Arabidopsis thaliana: one gene and its partners. The protein of the gene in region 1 interacts with the protein of each later gene in a pairwise test. Each region holds a gene or a part of one and is shown in the gene's direction. Other genes may lie near its edges. The genes, in order: AT1G67170, AT5G04170, MYB94 and AT3G13990.

Region 1 (4,816 bases):
ATATATAGAGAGAAAAATTATTATTCTTGTTCTCTTAGGGACGACGCCTTGTAATTGGTCTGCTCACAAAGCAACCGCACTTGTGTTTTTTGATTCATTGAATATAATTTATGAGTGACTAACTAAATATTTAGTAAAGAAAGTGGGAAAATAATAGTCAACAAATTGAAGCGTTAACCTTGCCATAAAATCGTCTTTTCATTCAAAAAGTGAGGGATTAAATTACATAAGAAAATTACAAAACTTTTATTTCATAGGCCAGAAGTCTAGAAGGTACGTAGGCCAATATTCTAGTTTGTTCATCATAGGCTCATCGCGATAAACTCCATATGATTAACTGCAACACTATTTGTTATGAATTTCCAAATAATGTATTTTAATTTTGAGCTAGGTTTCATATGAAATCAGAATAACAAAATAGTAGTACGAAGTACGAAAAAGCAATTTTAAAAAACAGCTAAAAACATAACAAAATAGCAGTAAGAAAAAGTGGAACCAAAAAGCTGAAAGTATCAAAGCCGTGTTGCTAATCAAACCCAAAAACAAATAATCCACCCTTACCAAAAAGACAAAACTTGATAGTATTAATTCACAACCATTTATCACCAAAAGTGGGGAAAAACCAACGAGCATCCTTGAAAAGTTTTGTCGAGGAAGTAGTTAGATGTTCAAACTCTTGGACCACATAATCGCTTCCGATTTGGTAAACGCAAATACGGTCAGCGTTATAACCATCGCGTAGACTAATCCCACAACATCTATGATACTGATCATTACTAAAATATATGCAATCTCTCATAACTCCATCTTTGGCCGGAACCGTAATTCCTAAATCCAAAAGCAATGCCTCGTCCCCTATAGACTTGATTAGTACTGTAAATTCTGATGATTTTGGATCCATCTTATTGACAGTGAAGACGCATTTAGCCTCTGGAGAACTATCCATTTTACCACCTACAATGATCAAAACTTCTCCAGACAAAGTCACAGCAAGATTGCTGAAATACTTCATATGAAATCTATTTACACACACAGACGATCCGAAACTTGCACATTCCATTTCTACTGGAGAAACACCACCGGAGAAATCAAAAACAGTGAGACATTGATGTGCACTAATCATGTAAAGCTTGCTTTCTTTAAACACCATATCAACACAGCCTTGATGCTTTATTGGTTGAAGAACTTTCCAGCTATTGTTGTCATCTCCTCTCTTGTGATGATATGCTACATAACTAGAAAGATTACAAAACACAAAGTAATCTCTGCTTTTGTCATCTACCCACAGAACCGCTTTGTCTATTTCTATATGGCTACCGCTAATGGGTCTCTTGAATCGCATATACCGTTCTCCATCGATTGATTCGAGAGACGGAAGAAGAATCCTCTCTCGAGTAAAAAGATTCAAAAGATGAAAATCAGCTCTATGGTCGAACATAAGGAACCAACTACCGGAACTCGCTAAACAACGACTCGTAGACATATCAAACCCTAAATCTCTGATTATGTAGGTTTTGTTTTCATGAGGATCAAACAACTTACATGAACCGTTGTTTTCGACATTTTTGTTTGGAAAAAGAATGATCCATGGAGTTGTTGGATTTGTTACTCCGATGACTGATTTCGAAGCAACATACCATGTTGAAGAAACGCATCTCGCTCGATGAAAATCAACGAAGCTCAAGCGCTCCAAGATTAATCTAACTAGGTCCACGATATAGGCCGCTTCGAATCGTCCTTCCATATTTTTTCCGTCGGAATCGCTCATCTCCTTCTTTTGTGCTATTTCACGATTTTCAATCTTAGGGTTTGTGCTCAGAGACGTGGGGGAGAAGATGAGTCAATAAAGTTAATGAGGCTATTGGGCCATTATGTAAAATAGGCCCATATATTAATGGGTTTCGTTGGATTAGAAATCTTAACTTGTAGGAAAAAAAAAATTCACGCCGGCAAAAGAAAAGAAAAAAAAAACCTTCGCCGTCGTTTGCTTAGTCTTCTTCGCTCTATCCCAACACTCGATCAAATAATCCCAGTGAGCTTCTTCCATTCCAAGGTACGAATCGATAAAGTCATCAAACCTATACCTTTTCAGGATTTAATGGTAATTAGTCAGGATCTAAATCGTTTCTTCGAATTTGATTTCGGTGATCTAGAACCCTAATTTGGTCGGGAATTTTCAAATCAATTGATTTCCCTGCCCTAATTTAATTTGATGATTGTTCTGTTTGCCTATGAATAAGTTTGATTTCAATGGCAAACAAAAAAAAGAGAGACATTGATTTGAATATTTTTACTTAGGTGCATTGATTCTGCAGATTGTGTTAATGTGTGTCACTCTTAATCTTCTGTCTTATGTTTTTCTCAGTTGATAAGGAATTTGAAGAAGCCTTTGTTTAATGGAAAGCAAAGGAAGAATCCATCCATCTCATCATCATATGAGGCGTCCTCTTCCAGGTCCCGGTGGCTGTATAGCGCATCCGGAGACTTTCGGTAATCACGGTGCTATACCACCTTCTGCTGCTCAAGGTGTGTATCCTTCCTTCAACATGTTACCTCCACCTGAAGTTATGGAGCAAAAGTTTGTGGCACAACACGGGGAATTACAGAGACTTGCTATAGAGAATCAGAGACTTGGTGGAACTCATGGTAGTTTAAGACAAGAGTTAGCAGCAGCACAGCATGAAATACAGATGTTGCACGCGCAAATTGGGTCGATGAAGTCCGAGAGAGAGCAACGGATGATGGGTCTTGCTGAGAAAGTTGCTAAAATGGAGACTGAGCTTCAGAAATCTGAGGCTGTTAAGTTGGAGATGCAACAAGCACGTGCTGAGGCACGGAGTCTTGTTGTGGCTAGGGAGGAGCTTATGTCTAAAGTGCATCAGTTGACTCAGGAACTTCAAAAATCTCGTTCTGATGTGCAGCAAATACCTGCTCTGATGTCTGAACTTGAGAATCTAAGACAGGAGTACCAGCAGTGCAGGTAATGGTTGTAGAATGGAAGTTTCTGATATCACTGGCTCCCGACACTCTTCTTATAGTTATTGAGTTTGTCAGCTTTTGTATCATCCTCTTATGAAGGTTGGGATGAATTTGATTTTATCTGATTCTGGCAGGGCAACATATGACTATGAGAAGAAGTTTTATAATGACCATCTCGAGTCACTTCAGGCAATGGAGAAGAACTACATGACTATGGCTAGGGAAGTTGAAAAACTTCAAGCACAGTTGATGAACAATGCAAATTCAGATAGAAGAGCAGGTATATTGAATTATTTAGTTAGTTTCTGCTCTATTTAGCTTCATTGTTCCACGAACTTTTTTCAGTAATTTAAGAGTTGTATCTGTCAATCAAATGAAGGTGGCCCTTATGGTAACAACATAAATGCTGAAATTGACGCTTCTGGACATCAGAGTGGAAACGGTTATTATGAAGATGCTTTTGGTCCTCAGGTTCGTGAGTTTCTCTTTGCTAGCTCGTCTTTTTGAGACCCATTATAGTTTTCCACATTAGTTGATTTAGATGTGCTTGAGCTATATACGTTTTGTTACTTTTGCAGGGATATATTCCTCAACCAGTAGCTGGTAACGCAACTGGACCAAATTCAGTTGTTGGCGCAGCTCAATACCCTTATCAAGGAGTAACTCAGCCAGGATACTTCCCTCAAAGACCCGGTTACAACTTTCCAAGAGGCCCTCCTGGTTCATATGACCCAACAACAAGGTTACCAACAGGACCTTACGGCGCTCCATTCCCACCTGGACCATCTAACAATACTCCTTACGCCGGTACACACGGAAACCCTAGTCGCAGATGAGTCCACCAGCTAAGAGTACATATATAAATAACTCACCAGCTACAGATTCCTTCAACTGTGGAATTGTTGCCTGTTTGGTCCCATAATCTTTATGGGTAAAGAGAAGTTGGTACAGTGGTGAACGTTGAGTGCTATTGTTTAACTGATTTTGTTGAGAGCTTGACTTTTGTGAGACGGTTTTCAACAAGTTTTGTGATACAGAGAGATGTAACATCGGGAAAGAAAAAACAAAGAAAGAGAAATTTGTTGTTTGCCCTTCACCATTTTGTCTCTATGACTCTATGTTTCACTCAGTTAAAAAGTTTACAAATGAATCGAAAGTTAAATTTATCTTTGTAATACTGTAGTTTCTAGTTTTAGTTTACTTTTGAAGGGCCCATTTTATTTTTTATTTTATTTTGTGAGAAGGGCCCATTTCATATATATATATATATTATTTATTTTATTTTTGGACAGAATACGAGTTGTTTTAAAAAAAAAATATTTTTGAAACACCGTCCGATAAAATTATTGAAATTTTTTGATATTTTTAAATTCCCGCCAGACTCCCATCTAAATTTCGCTTCTCCTTTAGCCATTTGCTTCCATTGTCACGGACCTGAGAAAGAAGGGGAAGAGAGATTGAAGCAAACAAAGAGATAATCGCAGCAACTTTGTACCAATTAGACCAGGTAATTCTTCTCCAATAAAGAAATTGCAATTTCTAAGGTTTCATTGTTCGATTTCTGTAAAAAGGTTTTTGATTTCTCAATTCAATTGCTGAAATTTGGTTCAGTTACCTCGATTTTAAGTTTAGGGTTTACCGATTCTGGCCCATTTGATACGAAAGATGTAAGCTTTTCCCAATATTGAATCCCCTTGGCTATATAGGGGTTTAATCGCACAATTTGATTTAGAAGAAATTGTTGCAATCCCCAATTTACGTTTTTCATTTGGGTCTGATATTTGTAGGTATGGAAAATGTGGTTGCAACTGTGAGTGGTTATCATGGATCCGATAGG
Region 2 (4,594 bases), on another chromosome or scaffold:
GATCAAGGTCATATTCTGATATATTACTTACCCCTCTGAAGAAAGTAAGATGCCTTGAAGAACAGATTTAAAGGCTCTTGCCGCAGTAGCACTAATGCACATTATGAACCCAAACCAGTGAAATCCTGGCTCACCCTGCAATGTAAAACTGGTACTTAGATCAAGATCATACATACAAAAAATAGCAATAAGATCGTCTCTTCACAATGATACAAATTCAAAACACACAAAACAAGGATATGATATAACCACTTGACAAGCTTCAGAGAAGTACAAAAACAGTATAAAGATATCACCTTTACGGAGAAATAAGGAAGGTTAGATCCCAAAATGATGTTCTACCAAATTCTACACCTGATTAAACCATAAAAGGCTGAAGCTTTTTAGATAACAACAACACTCAAATTTGCCCTGATTTCAAAGTTTAGACCTTTGTCCAAGTTTAGGTCTTTCAACATTAACATCTATTTACGGATCAGTGATCTGAATCCAAATTGGATCTTTCCAAAAAAAAACATGAATTTCAAATCTAGGGAGGTCCAGGAAACCTAACATTCAACACTGACATTGTTAAGAGAATTGAGAACAGAACAAAAAGGCTTACCCCACTGGCGATGACGACACCGGCGACGACAGGGACGAGAGCACCATAAGTAACCCAAGCTTCTCTCTTAAAGGTCATAAGATAAGCAAACAGAGCCGTGAAAAACGGCGTCGTAGCACCGACGGCTTGATTGAAAGAGACAGGAAGGTAACGAAGGGAGATGTTACCACCGACGACGGAAGCACAAAAGACGATGCTGAGAGTAGCAACCTTAAGGAATTGAGAACGAGATTTGAGATGTTGGAGAGGAACAAGCTTGAGGAAAACAATGGAGATGTAGCTAAGGATAGCGCAAGCGGACATGTGACACATTGTGAGAAAAATCGGGAATTTGAATCCGTAATTCGAGAGAAGGAACTTGTTGAGGAGAAGAACACCGATGTTTGAAGAGTACCATGAGATGATTAATGTCGATATGAACAGGGTTTGTTTCTTCGCAGACGACGACATTGTTGTTATGTTTTCTGATCTGGGTTCTTCTTCTTCCTCGACGAGATCGAGATTTCGTTGAGAGAATGAGAGAGAGAGAGAGAGAAAGAGAAAACGAGAGAAATCAGGTCCTTACTTGGAGCATGGAACGGCAAGGACACAAAAAGCTTTTAGATGAACAAATAAAGTTAAGCCTTTGCTTTTATTAATTAATGTCTAACTAAGTAACCCTTGTATTTGTAACGTATTATTTGCTTGTTAATTAAATTAAGTAGATAATATCAAAATCGTTGCCTAAATAACGACGATATTATCAAATCGATATTTGTATTGTGAAACTATATGGATTTGGTTAAAAGATTTAGAGGTTATGGTGAAGAAAATTACATTCAAGTAAGAGTATATAATACTACTATTTTTTTATGTTTCATGAAATATGATAATTTTAATAAGATAAAATATATGAAGATAATTCTGTTGAGGCTATTTGAAATTAATTACAACACAAATCAAACGAACTAATACAATATATCAAACCGTTCGAAATTAGTGTCTTAAACCGAACTAAAACCCCCGCTAATTATAGTGTCGGTTAGATCTAATTCCAATGGCATTATTGTAAATAGTTTGAAATTAGAGAGAAATTTCCCAAGAGTGTCCTTGACAATCTGACACAAGCTTGAGGTCAACTAAATATCACATTCAAAGCTTTGATTTTTATTTTCTCTTTCGACGAAAATCTCAAAACTTTAAGATCCTTTATTTCTGATCTCTCTTCGAAGTTTCGGTTTTTGTTTTCTTAATTGTCAAGTCATTTCATCGATGTCAGGATATCCTCCGACTAGCCAAGGTTACGGTTACGGTTACGGCGGCGGTAATCAACCTCCACCACCTCAACCACCTTACTCTTCCGGCGGAAACAATCCTCCCTACGGATCATCAACAACCTCTTCTCCTTACGCTGTACCCTACGGCGCATCTAAACCACAATCATCATCCTCTTCTGCGCCGACGTACGGATCTTCATCATACGGAGCACCGCCTCCTTCAGCTCCGTACGCGCCTTCTCCAGGAGACTACAACAAGCCGCCAAAGGAGAAACCATACGGAGGAGGCTACGGAGCTCCACCACCGTCTGGATCTTCAGATTACGGAAGTTACGGTGCTGGACCTCGTCCGTCGCAGCCGTCTGGGCACGGTGGAGGATACGGAGCTACTCCACCGCATGGGGTTTCTGACTATGGAAGTTACGGTGGTGCTCCACCTCGTCCAGCGTCTTCTGGTCACGGTGGCGGATACGGAGGTTATCCTCCGCAAGCCTCTTATGGAAGTCCTTTTGCTTCTCTGATTCCGTCAGGTTTTGCTCCGGGGACAGATCCGAATATAGTGGCTTGCTTTCAGGCTGCAGATCAAGATGGTAGTGGCTTTATTGATGATAAGGAGCTTCAAGGAGCTCTCTCTTCTTATCAACAGAGATTCAGTATGAGAACTGTTCATCTTCTTATGTATCTATTCACCAATAGCAATGCTATGAAAATCGGTGAGTTTTCTGATTGATTTGACCCAAATTTGCTTTAGATTCAACAAGGATTGTTAGTTTCTGAAGTTTTTTATCTCTATGATTCTTGTTCAGTATCGTTATTATCTGTCTAAGATGCAAAACTCAAAAGATTCATACTTTGGGTCATATCGTCAGGGTTTTTCTATTACCATGTTGGCAAAATTAACAATATTTGTGGACTTCTCCTTTAATTACGTGCAAAAGAGTATCCCACTGTCTCTATGATCTTGTTGAATCATTTGGTTTCATTATTTTAGTTCTAGTTGAAGTCATAAATAATCATTTAGTTCTGGTTTTGAATTGGTGTTCTTTACTGACTTGTGAAGTCTACATGTTGCAGGACCTAAGGAGTTTACTGCACTTTTCTACAGTCTTCAGAACTGGAGGGTAAGTTCCAATTGTTTTTATTGTTTTCATTACTTTGTTTGGTTTCTGGTAACCATTATGCAAGATTGTTGGGATATTCACTCTTGTGGTTGGTTTTGGCAGTCCATTTTTGAGAGGTCTGATAAGGACAGGAGTGGAAGAATAGATGTGAATGAGCTGAGAGATGCGCTTTTGAGCCTTGGGTTTTCGGTTTCTCCTGTGGTTTTGGATCTGCTGGTTTCCAAGTTTGACAAAAGCGGAGGCAAGAACAGGGCTATCGAATATGACAATTTCATTGAGTACGTTATTCTTTCCGTCTTCTTCTTCTTGCTGTGGCCGTTGCTTATTTATTATTAACGGTATCTGTTTTGCCTTGATGCAGGTGCTGTCTCACTGTTAAGGTACGCTCTCATTTACTCTTTTTATCTCTTATACATCTCCTAGATAAGTGCGCCTAGGTCAAATGAGATTGAAATCTTATTAGTTATAGAAATTAAGTCATTAACCCTGGGGAGAGTTAAACTCAAACTTGTCCTTCAGCCCGAATATCGAACTAAGTTTGTTAGTTTTGTCAAATGTGGTGAGGTTTAGGAGTCAGAACAGCAATGAGTTTGGCCTCACTAGTGATTGCATCTGAGACCGCAACAGTTCTTGTTACATTGTGGTTTGGTGATTCGAGTGTGGTATTTAGAAGTTTAGTAATCTGAATTGTAATATGATGGAAACTGCAGGGGCTGACAGAGAAGTTCAAGGAGAAGGACACAGCATACTCAGGCTCAGCTACTTTCAACTACGAAAGCTTCATGCTCACCGTCCTCCCCTTCCTCATCGCATAAGTTTTTTTTACGGTAACCCGTTTGCACATCTTCTGTTTTTTTGTATGTTCTTTGTTGTGTGAATGCTATTGTCAATGGAAGCTTTTCCGGTTTAGTTGAACTCAAGAGTTTATAAAAAAAATGTGAAATGTATAGTGAGAGATCTTGTGTTATAAAATAATCAAACAACTCATTATGGTTGGATATTATTACATCTTGTTTATTGGAATACATGTATAAAAGAAAAACTTTATGCATATAATATTGCGTAGTTTTATCTTTTAATCAAAAGAATAGTTAAAAAAAAATAGTTATGGCTCCCAATTTTCATACATCTTCAAAATTCTTTTCCGAATTTTCTTTGTATGGAAATTAGGGCTCGGAGTTGCCTTGTCCTATAAGACTGTCTTAGACCGGACCAACTCGTGGTATTCTTAGCCGTGGAGTTGGACTTGGACTGGACTGCTCGTTTAAATAAACCAGACGTCCGTTCAGAGGTTGAGCTGGTCTCGCGTTCTTCTCATAACCCTAGTTATTAACAAAATATGTTTAGTTAAAAAACAGAAATTCAAAAGTGTTCTTAGTAAATGTGTTTATATGAGAGTGTATAGTTCTTACACCGCGACGAGCATCTGTCAATACATCAATTTGCTCACGTGAAACAGTCCCCACCTGCATTTTTGAATATAGGCATACAAATTTGAGTCGGGATTTTATAGATTCTTGATATGGTTCAAGGTTTGCTAGAATTATTTACCTTGTTGATGATGGTCCACATGACATCTTCCGTGCAAGGAGGAGTCGTGAGAGAACCTCTGT
Region 3 (4,415 bases), on another chromosome or scaffold:
TATCGAAGCATATATACTATATTAATACAATTTTTTTTTTCTTTTTGCTAAGAATATCATTATTTTATAAAAAATGTACTTAGGTCTACAATAATTGAAATGTAGACCTAAAATGTTGAAAATATTTTCTTATCTTCAAATACCTTAATTCTTATATAAAAAGAAATCGACGCATAGCATGATACTCAGCCTCGGTAAAATTAAAAGCATAATCTTAACCTTAAGAACCAGACAAGAAGTTTTCTGTTGAATTCTAATCAATATTATAAACGATACCAACAACGTAAAATAATTTCGAAATATACAATTCAATTTCTGATATTCAGTATTACAATATAACTAGTTATACTTTAACAACAAATAAATATAACTAGTTAGAGGTGTCTATGTGACGATTTTAGTCAAAATTATTAATACCATCATCCTCGGGACATGGGTTACGTAATACAAAAAGACGTGGCGTATGGGGTTTCAACCTATTTTGTTCAATGAAGTCTCTACGGTCCGTTGAATTTGTATCTATTGTACGTAGTATCTTCAGACGATTTTTTCATATTGTATTATATAATATTTATGTTAATTATTTAGATACGTATAATATTATTTCCTATCCAATTTAAAAGCTCAATACACAACGACGACGCGCTTTGCAACATTCCTCTCGTTTCTTGTAAAGTTTTTGAAATCCTTAAACTGATTTTTAAACCAATTCTTAGTGTATGAGATTACAATCATTATTGTTTTACAAAAAAAAAGTTTATCGATCTAAATATACCAACAAGTCCAACATCACCAAAAGATCTATATGTGTGGACATTTTCCTTATTGGGAATGTGGGGATATGTGTTTCGATTATCTTTTATCAACCGTTCAATTCAATTACCTACAAAAGCTCACAAGTCACACCTGACACCACTAATTAACATTTTTACATGTTCGACTAAATTCGCATCAATTCAAATTTAACTTCTTTTTTTTCTTCTTTTAAATAATAAATTTTGCTACTTATTCTGTGTTTTGTTGATGTCTATATTTGATTGTTCATGAGAATTTGACGGGATTGAAACCAAAATATTTGGTTTGATTTTAGTTAAGTTCACTCAATTTTGATATATGCTAAGTCGACTTATTAAGTGGTTACTAGTTTTATATATTTTGAGATCATGTAATAGTTTTCATATGATATGTATACCAATTTGATCACAACATAACTCACAAAATATCAATATTTTTAGAGAGACAGATAATTAGTTTAAATTCCGGTTGGTTCTCAATAACGCAGGAAGGACATTGTAAAATCATGCCACATATATGCATGCAAGTGGAAAATCCAAATTTACAAATTCATATTATGAAAATCCTTTTATTGTTTAATTCATGTATGCTTTTCCAAATGTATAATTAGAAGGTTTAATTACATAAATAGAAGTTATATACTCATTTCACTCTCATTGTGGACCCATGCATAAATGCAATCAAAGTCTTTGAAGTCTAAACCCAATCAAATTGATGAACACCTAATAAAATGATACATGCACATATGTTCTCGTGTGGAGACAAAATTAAGGGTTTATTTGCGATAATATGAAATGACTAATTACAAAGAGAAAATAGTAGGCTAATTTTAGAGAGAGAAAGCATGGAGTAATGGTGGAGAGAGAGAGAGAGGAGGCTGACTTTGGAGAGCAAGAGAGTAAATGCATTTGGCTGTCCATGTTGACTCTTTGATAGCAAAACCCCACTCTTCATTATTGTTACTTTTAACTCTATTATTATTGCTACTAATTCACTCTTCAGCTTAAACCTCTCTCTCTCTCTCTCTCTCTCTCTCTCTCTCTCTCTCTCTCTCTCTCTCTCTCTCTCTCTCTCTCTCTCTCTCTCTTTGGCTGTATAAATATACACAAGCTCTCTCTCCACATCTTCAGACAAAACCAACCACCACTTGTACCTCTTTGTCTTAAGTACTCTTTAACCCTACAATTTCCTAAGCTCTCAAGCCACAAAAAACCACAAACCGTTCTTCACCAATATATATATCTGATCATCATCAAAGTCCTTCTCTCTGCTCATACCACAAACCGTTCCATTCTTCCCCTAATCACAAAGTGATATTTACATAGAGAAGATAGAGATGGGAAGACCACCATGCTGTGACAAGATTGGAGTGAAGAAAGGACCATGGACACCAGAGGAAGATATCATCTTGGTTTCTTACATCCAAGAACATGGTCCTGGAAACTGGAGATCTGTGCCTACTCACACAGGTATCTTCTTCTATCTTAATATTATGTTTTTTTAATGAACAATAGTAATATTTTAATTTCAATTGTTAACCCCTATACTCTTCAGAAGTACCCTTTAATGTTTTTTGTTTTTTTCTTGGGTTTGTGATTGTTTTGTTCTGGCTTCCACTTGGTTGGTATGATCATTTAATGAAAAGGAAAAATTGTAATAATATCCGATTTATGGCACCAGCTTTTTTGTCCATATATCACAAATTAATTACTCTTTTAATGAAATTATCTTGTTGTTGTTGTGGTGATTTAGGTTTGAGGAGATGTAGCAAAAGCTGTAGATTGAGGTGGACTAATTATCTTCGACCTGGGATCAAGCGTGGAAATTTCACCGAGCATGAAGAGAAGATGATTCTCCATCTTCAAGCTCTTTTGGGAAACAGGTAAATACATACATATTCACATGCACATGATCTATAAAAGTATACAAATTCTTTTATTTTTTTGGGTATGCATAAAGATAAGGTTTTGAACTTTAAATAACTTGGGGACCAAATAATTATGAAGGTGGGCAGCTATAGCATCATATCTTCCAGAAAGGACAGACAATGATATAAAGAACTATTGGAACACTCATTTGAAGAAAAAGCTCAAGAAGATGAATGATTCTTGTGATAGTACTATCAACAATGGCCTTGATAATAAAGACTTCTCCATATCAAACAAAAACACTACCTCACATCAAAGCAGCAACTCCAGTAAAGGTCAATGGGAGAGAAGGCTTCAGACAGATATCAACATGGCTAAACAAGCTCTTTGTGATGCCTTGTCTATTGACAAACCACAAAACCCAACTAATTTTTCTATTCCCGATCTTGGTTATGGTCCATCATCTTCTTCGTCCTCTACCACCACCACCACCACCACCACGAGAAACACTAATCCATACCCATCTGGGGTCTATGCTTCAAGTGCTGAGAACATTGCTCGTTTGCTTCAGAATTTTATGAAAGACACACCAAAGACCTCGGTGCCCTTGCCGGTTGCAGCCACCGAGATGGCTATCACCACGGCAGCTTCGAGCCCTAGCACAACCGAAGGAGACGGAGAAGGGATTGACCATTCTTTGTTCAGCTTCAACTCCATAGATGAAGCTGAAGAGAAGCCTAAACTAATAGACCATGACATTAATGGTCTAATTACACAAGGCTCTCTTTCTTTGTTCGAGAAATGGCTCTTTGATGAGCAAAGCCACGATATGATCATCAATAACATGTCACTAGAGGGTCAGGAAGTGTTGTTCTAGAAAGCATTAAAGTTTGACGATTTGCTTGAGGAACCACGAGGCTTAGTTATAAACAATTTGTATAATTAAGTACTCTTTAGTTTTGTTTTCAATCCTTATTATGATCATATTGCAGTAATTAGGGATTTTAGTCTTTAGTAGTAACTCTTAAGTTTTAACACATTTTTCTCTATCTTTTTAGTAGTAACTCTTTATTTTTTCCTTAAATCTTTGTCGACGTGGAGATGATATCTTCTATGTAGTAGAAACTCAAAAGTGTACATCATCTTTATTAATGTAACGTCTTTTTAATCGTGTGACTCATTTGGTTATACAAATTCATGTCACTTAATTAGTATTGATATGGTTAGGTTTCAGATTTTATGTTTCCATAAACTTCAATCAGTAGGTAGAACAAACTTTTCTCCTCATTCATTATATAGATTAAGATTACTTTAAACTGTTTAATGTACTAAATAATGAAGTTCTATAATAAAGATATAGGTTCTTTTACTGGTGAGATATTTCATTAAACAAACAAAAAATGAGTTGTTACTAAAAGAAAATTAAAGAGCAAAATCTAGTTTTGTATCCGATTATAGGAGGCAAAATCTAGTGATTCATAGAATTATGTAAAACTAATAAAATAAAGCTGCTAATTAACAGGAGAGGCAAAAAAAGAAGAAAAAAGTAGTGAATTTAATGCAGAAGAAAATGTGAGTGTTTGTTTGACTTATGCCTGTGTTGAGCACAACGAGCATGATCCAAGTAGAGATGCTTTACCTTAGAGACATCACACATATTTTAATGTCACACTGTCTCACACCCAACTCGTTGACTTTTTTTTTGCTTGAGTCTCTAATAAATTTCGGGCTTAGTAAATTAATTGGCTGAAA
Region 4 (7,868 bases), on another chromosome or scaffold:
CTAATCCATACTGTTTTGAAATTGTTTAATTTGATTTTGGAAGTAGAGATGTGTGGTTCTTGGAGACAAGCAATGTGAGAGTACAGTTGATATTTAGGATATTATTATGTGAGATTTCTGTGTTGGAAACTGTTGCTGCTTTCATTTTTCTTGAATCGATTGAAGTGGTCCCAAACCATTTCTTATAATTATGAGAACTTGTACATCCTTTTTGCCAAGAAAGGTCTTTGAGATGTGGGTTATATTTCGGTAGTTGAATCCGATGGAGAACTTAAATGAATTCCCCAAGGACAATTGTGTGGGGAAGTGTTTGTGAATTTCGTAAAGTTCTTTTTGTATGTGGAACATATAATGAGAGCAAGATGATCTAACTAACTTTCTTCATGGCAAGAGGAACACTTCAGCTCCCTAGGATTGATATTTCTAGATTCTAGTTTTGACAATTTACTGCAGATCCCTTGAGTTTTGTGAACCTAAGACTGTTAACCTGGTAGCTCTTTGGTTCTGTATTGTATATGGTTAAGTCAGCTCCTAATTTGTTGATTTCTTCAAATTTGTATTACTTGCAGCCGTGAAATGTTCGATAAATGGCAAGCTCAAAAGTGGTGGGCGGAGAATTTCGACAAGGTCATGGAATTATACAATGTACAGCAGTTCAATCAGCAGAGCGTCCCACTTCCAACTCCTCCTAGATCTGAAGATGGGGTATATGCACCCTCTTCACTTCTGAACACATGAATCTACTCATCAAAACCTGTCTTTGATACTTTGAGGTCTAACTAGTTTTAATTTGGTATACCAGAGCTCGCGAATTCAGTCTACCAAGAATGGTCCTGCAACTCCACCTCTGAACAAAGAATGCTCTCGAGGAAAAGGCTACGCTTCTTCTGGCTCACTCGCTCACCAACCAACAACCCAAACACAAAGTCGACACCATGATTCATCTGGTCTTGCTACAACACCAAAACTCTCTAGCATAAGTGGGACAAAAACCGAGACATCATCTGTTGATGAGTCTGCAAGAAGTAGCTTCTCAAGGGAAGAAGAAGAAGCAGATCATTCAGGGGAGGAGCTATCTGTAAGTAATGCAAGTGACATTGAAACAGAATGGGTGGAACAGGACGAAGCAGGTGTTTACATCACAATCAGAGCTTTACCAGATGGGACTCGCGAGCTTAGGCGTGTTCGCTTCAGGTAAAGATACATTACTTTCTCTGTTCCTTAGTAAAACCCTTTCAAAAGCAAGCACTTTAACAACATTGTCTTTGTGGTTGTAGCCGAGAGAAGTTTGGGGAAACGAATGCAAGATTGTGGTGGGAGCAGAACAGAGCTCGGATACAACAACAATACTTGTGATGACCGATGACGGTCGAAGGCTCTCTAGAGAAGAATCTGACACACACCAAAACAAAACACTTTTCTTTTATATGTTTTACTTGGAAAAAAGCTACAGAGTGATGGAAATAACTTGGGATTCAGATAATGAATGTGCTTTTTAGTTGGTGGTTGTTAGTACATCTCTTTCTCTTCTTTCTCATCTACATCTATCTATAAAGAGGAGGTATTAGTTTTACTGGATTTTCTTGGTGTTATTTTCTTAAGGTAATGTACTGTATATAGTTTAATACTAAGAAAATTCATATTATTGGATTTGAAAATTACACTTTGTGCACTTTATTACTTTTTCTCTAATTATATTGACCATGATTGGTGCTAATAATTATGGCATGTACTTAAATGTTCTGAATAAGAAATGTATAAAGTAAAAACCAGTTAAATTGCCAGCTAACTTGTATCTCCTTAGAAATTTCCATTTCTCACTTCTCCTTTGACTAATCTTTCTATTGAGTTATATTAAGGGTAAAATAGTCAATTAGGTTTATCCAATTAGTGAATTTGGAACCAATTTTTTCGACGCGTGAGAATAAATCCTAACTTCTTTTTTTTTTTTGTTCTCTTAAAGCCGTTCCCTCTTCTCTGTACTCGAAACCCTAGTAGTTGCTCTATCCGATTTTAGGGTTTAAGAGTCGAATCATTAGCATCTACCTTGATTACGCTGATCTCACTTGGTTTCGCTACTCGATCCTTGAATTTCTTTGTTTTTTGTGTGTTTCGGTTTATTCGATACGTCTTTGATCCGTAATGGTGACTGGGTCCAGAACTAGCGGTAATCGTGGGGTAGGACTCGATGATGAAGCGAAAAAGATGATTCAATCGATTAAGGAAGTTGTGGATAGTCACTCCGATGCTGATATTTACACTGCCTTAAAAGAAGCTAACATGGATGCTAACGAGGCTGTGGAGAAGCTGATTCATCAAGGTTTCTTCTCTCTTCATCTCTTTTTCTGCTTTCCTAGTTTGACGGAAGTTAGGGTTTTACTGTTTGTTCTCTGGTCCGCATTATCTTGATCACGATGAATGCTACAACATCTTGTTTGAGGCGTATGTAGAATGCTGTAGATAGGTTATGCAAATTTCGTTTGATGGAGTTCTGTTGATAATTCGATAGATGGATAACTCTTGTTTTCATTTCGATAATTTGTCAATTCTCTTCAGAATACTTCAATTACTATATACTTGAAATATTATTGGTCTTCTTTTCTTGGCTCTCGTTTCGTTGGGTGACTAATATGTGTGTTATTGTTGCCATCATAGTTTTGGTTCGCTAAAAAGCTTTTGTTTTGTTCAGATCCATTTCACGAGGTGAAGAGAAAAAGAGACAGGAAAAAAGAGGTGAGGTTACATATAACTGTTATGGTATCTTGTTCCCAGTTCTTCTCCTTTTTAACATTTTTGCCAATGCAACCACATTGTAGTTTTTTTGTTTGACTCTCCTTAGTCTTTTCGAAACTGCATTTGAAGAAGGTGACTAGATTTTTCATAATGTTAGTTGTGCTTGTGTGACTATTATATCTCATCGGATGTCTGCTGTGGCAAGCTATATTTTTTTTTTGTTTTGTTTAGTATTTTGTGTGCCTTCTAATTTAATTGATCGTCAAAAAAAATTTCAACTTTTCTAGCCATTCAAATAGTTTGATGAATTTGTAGAGATCATCAAGACACCTCTTGTATAACCTCTGATTTTTAGGGCGTTCCTTTGGTTTCAGGATACAGTATTTGTTGAGCCTGCCAACATAAAGAAACCTCTTGAAAATGTTACCAGTGAAGTGAAAGTTCGTACACAGCCTGAACATAATGTTCGGAGAGGAGGCTACAGTAGGAATTTCTTCCCCAGGAACGCTGCTCAACGAAATGCATCTCCTAGAAATCCTGCTACTGGTAAATCAATTTGATGATGATATACTTGCCAGTTTCTTTCGCATGCTTGTACAGTTGTACTAAAAATCTTTAATTTGTTTTAAGCTGTCTTTTGAATGGTTCGTAAACATAATCTATATAACGGCAGTATCAAATGAACTTGGTTAAATCCAGAAAAATATATGCAGGCAAGCAAAGGAAACGTAGAAGAAATTGTTTTGCGTTGATTTGTTTTTTTTTTTTAATCTTTGTTATTGGCCATTGGCGTGAGGCCTTCAAGTTTTATGTAATGTATTGACCATATTCACCTAGAAATGTTTTTCTGTCTGTTTGTAATTTGTTCGTTTCATGTTAGTGCAGGATCCAACAAAGAGTTTCGCGTTGTTAGGGACAACAGGTCTAATCCAAATGTTGATGAAGAGTTGAAGCATTCTTCTGCCCAGTCCTCTGGATCAAATATTAACAAAGTGGTTGCCACTGTGAACAAATTGGGGTATGTATCATCAGTTGTAATTTATCCTATTGTTCTTATTCTAGCATTTTTATCACTAACTTGCCTTCTTTTATACATGTGAAATAGAATGATTTGTTACTCTTGTAAAAATATTTTAAGGGAGTTAATTTGCTTTAGCTGTACTTTTCCAAAAAATAGTAAAGTAGGACTCTTTTTTTTTTTTTTTTTTTTTGTCAATGAACTCTTTAAGACAATAAGAAGCATAGATTAGTTTTGTGCCATACTGCCATTGGGTTTTGGTAGACGGAGATAGGAGTGTGTATGTTCACTTGGTAGGCATTCCTTTGCTAGCCCAACAAGGACTTCTTGTCTCATAATTTCAAGAAAACTATGCTGAATTTAAATAAGAAAATAAAATTTTCGCTCTATTTTAACTGTTTGCCAGCTCAAGAGGTGGTTTGGGCAATCGTAACTCTTCTGGGGCTCAAGATTCAACTGACGAGTGTAATGCTCCAGCAGATGCCAGGCTCAGACAGGCTGAAATTCGTCCTTTGCATTGTCCTGTCAATAAAGAACTCGGTGGAGTTACTTTGCCATCAACCAATTCAGTTCTTGGTGTATATTCGTCTTCCAAAGATCCAGTTCATGTACCTTCTCCTGTTTCTAGATCATCACCCGTGGGAGCTATTAAACGTGAAGTAAGGGGTGGAGGTTTAGGTGGAAAACCTTCTGAAAATGTTGGTAAAGATCCATCTGTGCCCTCTTTTTCAGGGTCCTCTATTAGAAAAAATGGACCTCCAAATGCACATCGACCATCTTCCCCAACTTCAAAGATTGATCACAGTCGAACTACTGCACGTGAGTCTGTTATGCCCAGTGGAGTGGAAAAGAATAGGTCATATTTGAACAGACAGCGTGGGAATAGAGGAAGCCAATATGCTAGAACACAACAAGTTGGTGGCCATACAAAGGGTAACTTATATGCAAATATTTATTAACCGAATGGATGTTGTGCAATTTCTTATTTGATTTCTGCTAGGCGACACTTTATTTTCTGTGTAGCTTCTGCTTTGAGTAATATAATCCCTTCTTTCAATCTATTGGGAATTCCTGGTGAGAAGCCATTTCCTGTCATGACTTCTGATATTCTTGATCAACCTGTACTTATTGCAGGAGCCTCACAGAACAAGGAGTGGAAGCCTAAATCTAATCAGAAACCTGTTGGACATAACCCTGGAGTAATTGGAACACCTACAAAGTCTCAAGCTCGTCGTCCTGCTGATAATTCCATAAATGTGGAAACAGAAGCCGTCAAGTTGCAGAATAAGCTTTCACATGTTCATATAAGTGAAAGTCAGAATGTCATCATCGCAGATCATATTCGTGTCCCGGAGACTGACCGCTGTCAGCTAACTTTTGGTAGCTTTGTTCAAGAGTTTAATTCCTCAAGGAATTCAGAATCTGCTTTCGAAGAATCACACTCTTCAGAAGAAGTTAGAGAATCTGATCGTAGGTAAGTTCTGACAGTTGGTGGGTTTTTTTTTGTACATTTGAATATAGTTTGAGATCACATGCATCTTCCCCAATTAACTTGGTGATATTGTTGACAGTTCGCCAGTTACTTGTCCTGAGGCTTCAGCAGATGGTCCGGGCGTTCTGCCTATCACTATTGATGATCATGTCAGAGTTTCTAGATCTGACTCACCCGTCTCGGCAGTATCTGAGCCACAGTTACCCGAACAGAAAGAAACTCATAGATCTGACAATTTGGATGCGTACTCGGGGATTGAATTACTCAATAGGAATGGTCCACCTTATACTCCTTTGGAGTTTGAACAGCAGCAAGATCCTCCGGAGTTGCAAAAATTTTCTGTAAGGGTTCTTGCAATTTTAACTCTTAAAAATCAAGGAAAGATAAATTCATTCAAAAATGACATGCTCTTCCTTTCCAGCAGGCTTATGACAATCATGGTAGTTATGAATTTCCGTACTTTAGTCCTGCAATGGATGAAACTGTACGAGTTCAAGGATTACCATCTCCACACGAGGTAATTTATGTTTCTGTTGTTAGTTGTTACTAGTTTGCCAGCATGAGTTGATGCGTAAGAGTCTAGTTAGCTCCTGTTTGAGCAGTTGGTTTGTGCATGTGTCATAGTTATCTTTTTTGTTTTATTAACTAGGAAAAACTGATCAAGTATCCTTTTGATAATGCAGCAGGGATTAAGTGCTCACATGTTAAATAATGCCCCACCATCCACTATTCCCATGTTACAGCAACAACAGCAGGCATCAATGCAACAGATGTATCCGCAGGTCCATGTTTCGCATTTTCCCAATCTCATGCCTTATCGTCAATTCCTTTCCCCAGTCTATGTTCCCCAAATGCCCATGCCAGGCTACTCAGGTAACCCAGCAGCATATGCACACCCTTCAAATGGCAATAGCTATGTGCTGATGCCTGGAGGCGGTTCTCATCTCGGTTCAAATGGTGTCAAGTATGGAATCCATCAGCAATATAAACCAGTTCCAACTGGTGGACCTGCGGGTTTTGGGACTTACAACAATCCTAATGGGTATCCAACTAATCCTCCCAATGTAGTTGGAAACGCTACGGGACTTGAAGATCCATCTCGCATGATAAATAAACATGGAAATATTTACGTTCCAAATCCTCAGGTAATGATAATTGATAAGTATGGTAGTTGTGCCCGAACTTTATGTTTTTACCAATTATTTTTTATTCTGATTCATGTCTCCTTATCTAACACTACAGGCTGAGACTTCTGAGATATGGATGCAAAATCCAAGAGATCTTTCAAGCCTTCAGTCTCCATATTACAACGTAGCTGGACAATCGCCTCATGGTGCTTATTTATCATCCCATACAGCACACCAATCGTTCAACCCAACTGCGCAATCATCTCACATGCAGTTCCAGGGTCTCTTCCACCCGTCACAGCCTGGTACGATGGCGAATCCGCACCACATGGGACCTGGCCTCAGTGGTAATGTTGGAGTCGGTGTCGTTCCCTCTCCTCCTCCGTCTCAAATTGGTACCTATCAGCAATCACAACTTGGTCATCCGAATTGGCCATCAAACTTCTGAAGAAAATCTAACCTTTGTCTTCTTGTCTAATGGATTATATAATAGCCAAAAGCAAATATTTTGATTCTCCTTATGAAACGCCAAACTCTGTTTTAATTAATCTTTATTTATTCAATGCATAAAATGTTCCCAGCTCTCAACAATTTGTCTATAAATGCTTTGTCTGCTTCCATAGCCCCTCATTATTTACAGCTGCAGGTATGGTGTTATTCTCCCATGGCGTCAAATTGTCAAGGTAAAGTCCTGTCCGTGCTTCTTAATCATTTACTGCTATTATAGTTTCGGTCGACTTCAAGAACCCTACAATGCATGTGAAGGTTTTTAAGTGTGGAACCCTGTGAGTGAAACATTGTTGCTTGGTGCTAGTGTTTCCCATTGTCAATGTTCTACAAGTATTAAAGAGAATTGTGTGTTTTGTTTAGCTGTTCAATGTTCTTCTTTGAGTTATGTGTCTTCTCTCTCCATTTCCTCATATTCCTTATTAAATTCTTGATAGAGAATCATTAGTTGTTGAGCTTGACCTAACTTTCCTCTAGCCTTTAGAATAGATTACAAATATTCTTAATCGGAGAACTAGTTGAAGCTCAGGCCTATAGGTTTTGATTATCTCCTTGATTACTTTAGTTTTTAGGTGTCATAGCACACTGTGTCATCATAACAAAAGAATCTAATTGATCGTTTTGTTGACATATTTAGAAAAGTAAATATACTTAGTTTGGGGAGGTGGGTCTTAATCAAGGAGCCAACTAGAGTTTACTTAGAGCCTAATTGGTACGGACTTTGATTCCTTCTCTGATTTAATAGGCCTCCTAAGTCCTACCTTATTGAGAAATGATTACTCTCTACGAATCTCTTGAGACTCCATGATGTTGAGTCACTAATACTCTATTAATTTGTCCCATTTTGACCGGTCTAGGTTTTATTAAACGTAATTTCACTATTGATAACACCTACCGCACAAGTAAGGATTGGCTTGAGATTCTCTGAAAATTCTATAAATTTGTTCTTTGTGATTTAAAATGGTACTGAAAATGATTGAGGAGATTTTGT

The links.
Region 2: the proteins of AT1G67170 (region 1) and AT5G04170 interact in a two-hybrid assay, tested with the Arabidopsis thaliana proteins (one large-scale study listed by BioGRID).
Region 3: the proteins of AT1G67170 (region 1) and MYB94 interact in a two-hybrid assay, tested with the Arabidopsis thaliana proteins (one large-scale study listed by BioGRID).
Region 4: the proteins of AT1G67170 (region 1) and AT3G13990 interact in a two-hybrid assay, tested with the Arabidopsis thaliana proteins (one large-scale study listed by BioGRID).

Annotation. Positions count from the first base shown.
Region 1 is NC_003070.9:25,125,331-25,130,146, forward strand, and holds AT1G67170 (sarcolemmal membrane-associated protein), read left to right. Parts: upstream 1-1,842; 5' UTR 1,843-2,053; exon of another isoform or gene 2,054-2,101; intron 2,102-2,365; 5' UTR 2,366-2,396; coding exon 2,397-2,980; intron 2,981-3,113; coding exon 3,114-3,259; intron 3,260-3,358; coding exon 3,359-3,450; intron 3,451-3,557; coding exon 3,558-3,815; 3' UTR 3,816-4,127; downstream 4,128-4,816. Other genes in the region: AT1G67160 (F-box/kelch-repeat protein, putative (DUF295)), read right to left, coding at 597-1,768; AT1G67180 (zinc finger (C3HC4-type RING finger) family protein / BRCT domain-containing protein), read left to right, coding at 4,769-4,816. UniProt on the Arabidopsis thaliana protein: Has no transcriptional activation activity.
Region 2 is NC_003076.8:1,143,724-1,148,317, forward strand, and holds AT5G04170 (Calcium-binding EF-hand family protein), read left to right. Parts: upstream 1-1,707; 5' UTR 1,708-1,855; coding exon 1,856-2,573; intron 2,574-2,934; coding exon 2,935-2,981; intron 2,982-3,083; coding exon 3,084-3,259; intron 3,260-3,342; coding exon 3,343-3,361; intron 3,362-3,691; coding exon 3,692-3,796; 3' UTR 3,797-4,058; downstream 4,059-4,594. Other genes in the region: AT5G04160 (Nucleotide-sugar transporter family protein), read right to left, coding at 32-135, 605-1,054; ACA3 (alpha carbonic anhydrase 3), read right to left, coding at 4,184-4,303, 4,394-4,447, 4,533-4,594. UniProt on the Arabidopsis thaliana protein: Potential calcium sensor.
Region 3 is NC_003074.8:17,538,752-17,543,166, reverse strand, and holds MYB94 (myb domain protein 94), read left to right. Parts: upstream 1-1,859; 5' UTR 1,860-2,131; coding exon 2,132-2,264; exon of another isoform or gene 2,265-2,432; coding exon of another isoform or gene 2,433-2,547; coding exon 2,548-2,677; intron 2,678-2,801; coding exon 2,802-3,540; 3' UTR 3,541-3,878; downstream 3,879-4,415. UniProt on the Arabidopsis thaliana protein: Transcription activator involved in the activation of cuticular wax biosynthesis under drought stress. Binds directly to the promoters of genes involved in cuticular wax biosynthesis. Transactivates WSD1, KCS2/DAISY, CER1, CER2, FAR3 and ECR genes.
Region 4 is NC_003074.8:4,624,658-4,632,525, reverse strand, and holds AT3G13990 (dentin sialophosphoprotein, putative (DUF1296)), read left to right. Parts: upstream 1-1,912; 5' UTR 1,913-2,142; coding exon 2,143-2,320; intron 2,321-2,689; coding exon 2,690-2,733; intron 2,734-3,107; coding exon 3,108-3,279; intron 3,280-3,618; coding exon 3,619-3,751; intron 3,752-4,157; coding exon 4,158-4,684; intron 4,685-4,885; coding exon 4,886-5,225; intron 5,226-5,322; coding exon 5,323-5,584; intron 5,585-5,664; coding exon 5,665-5,760; intron 5,761-5,926; coding exon 5,927-6,388; intron 6,389-6,485; coding exon 6,486-6,818; 3' UTR 6,819-7,143; downstream 7,144-7,868. Other genes in the region: ATBRXL2 (DZC (Disease resistance/zinc finger/chromosome condensation-like region) domain containing protein), read left to right, coding at 570-705, 803-1,194, 1,278-1,356.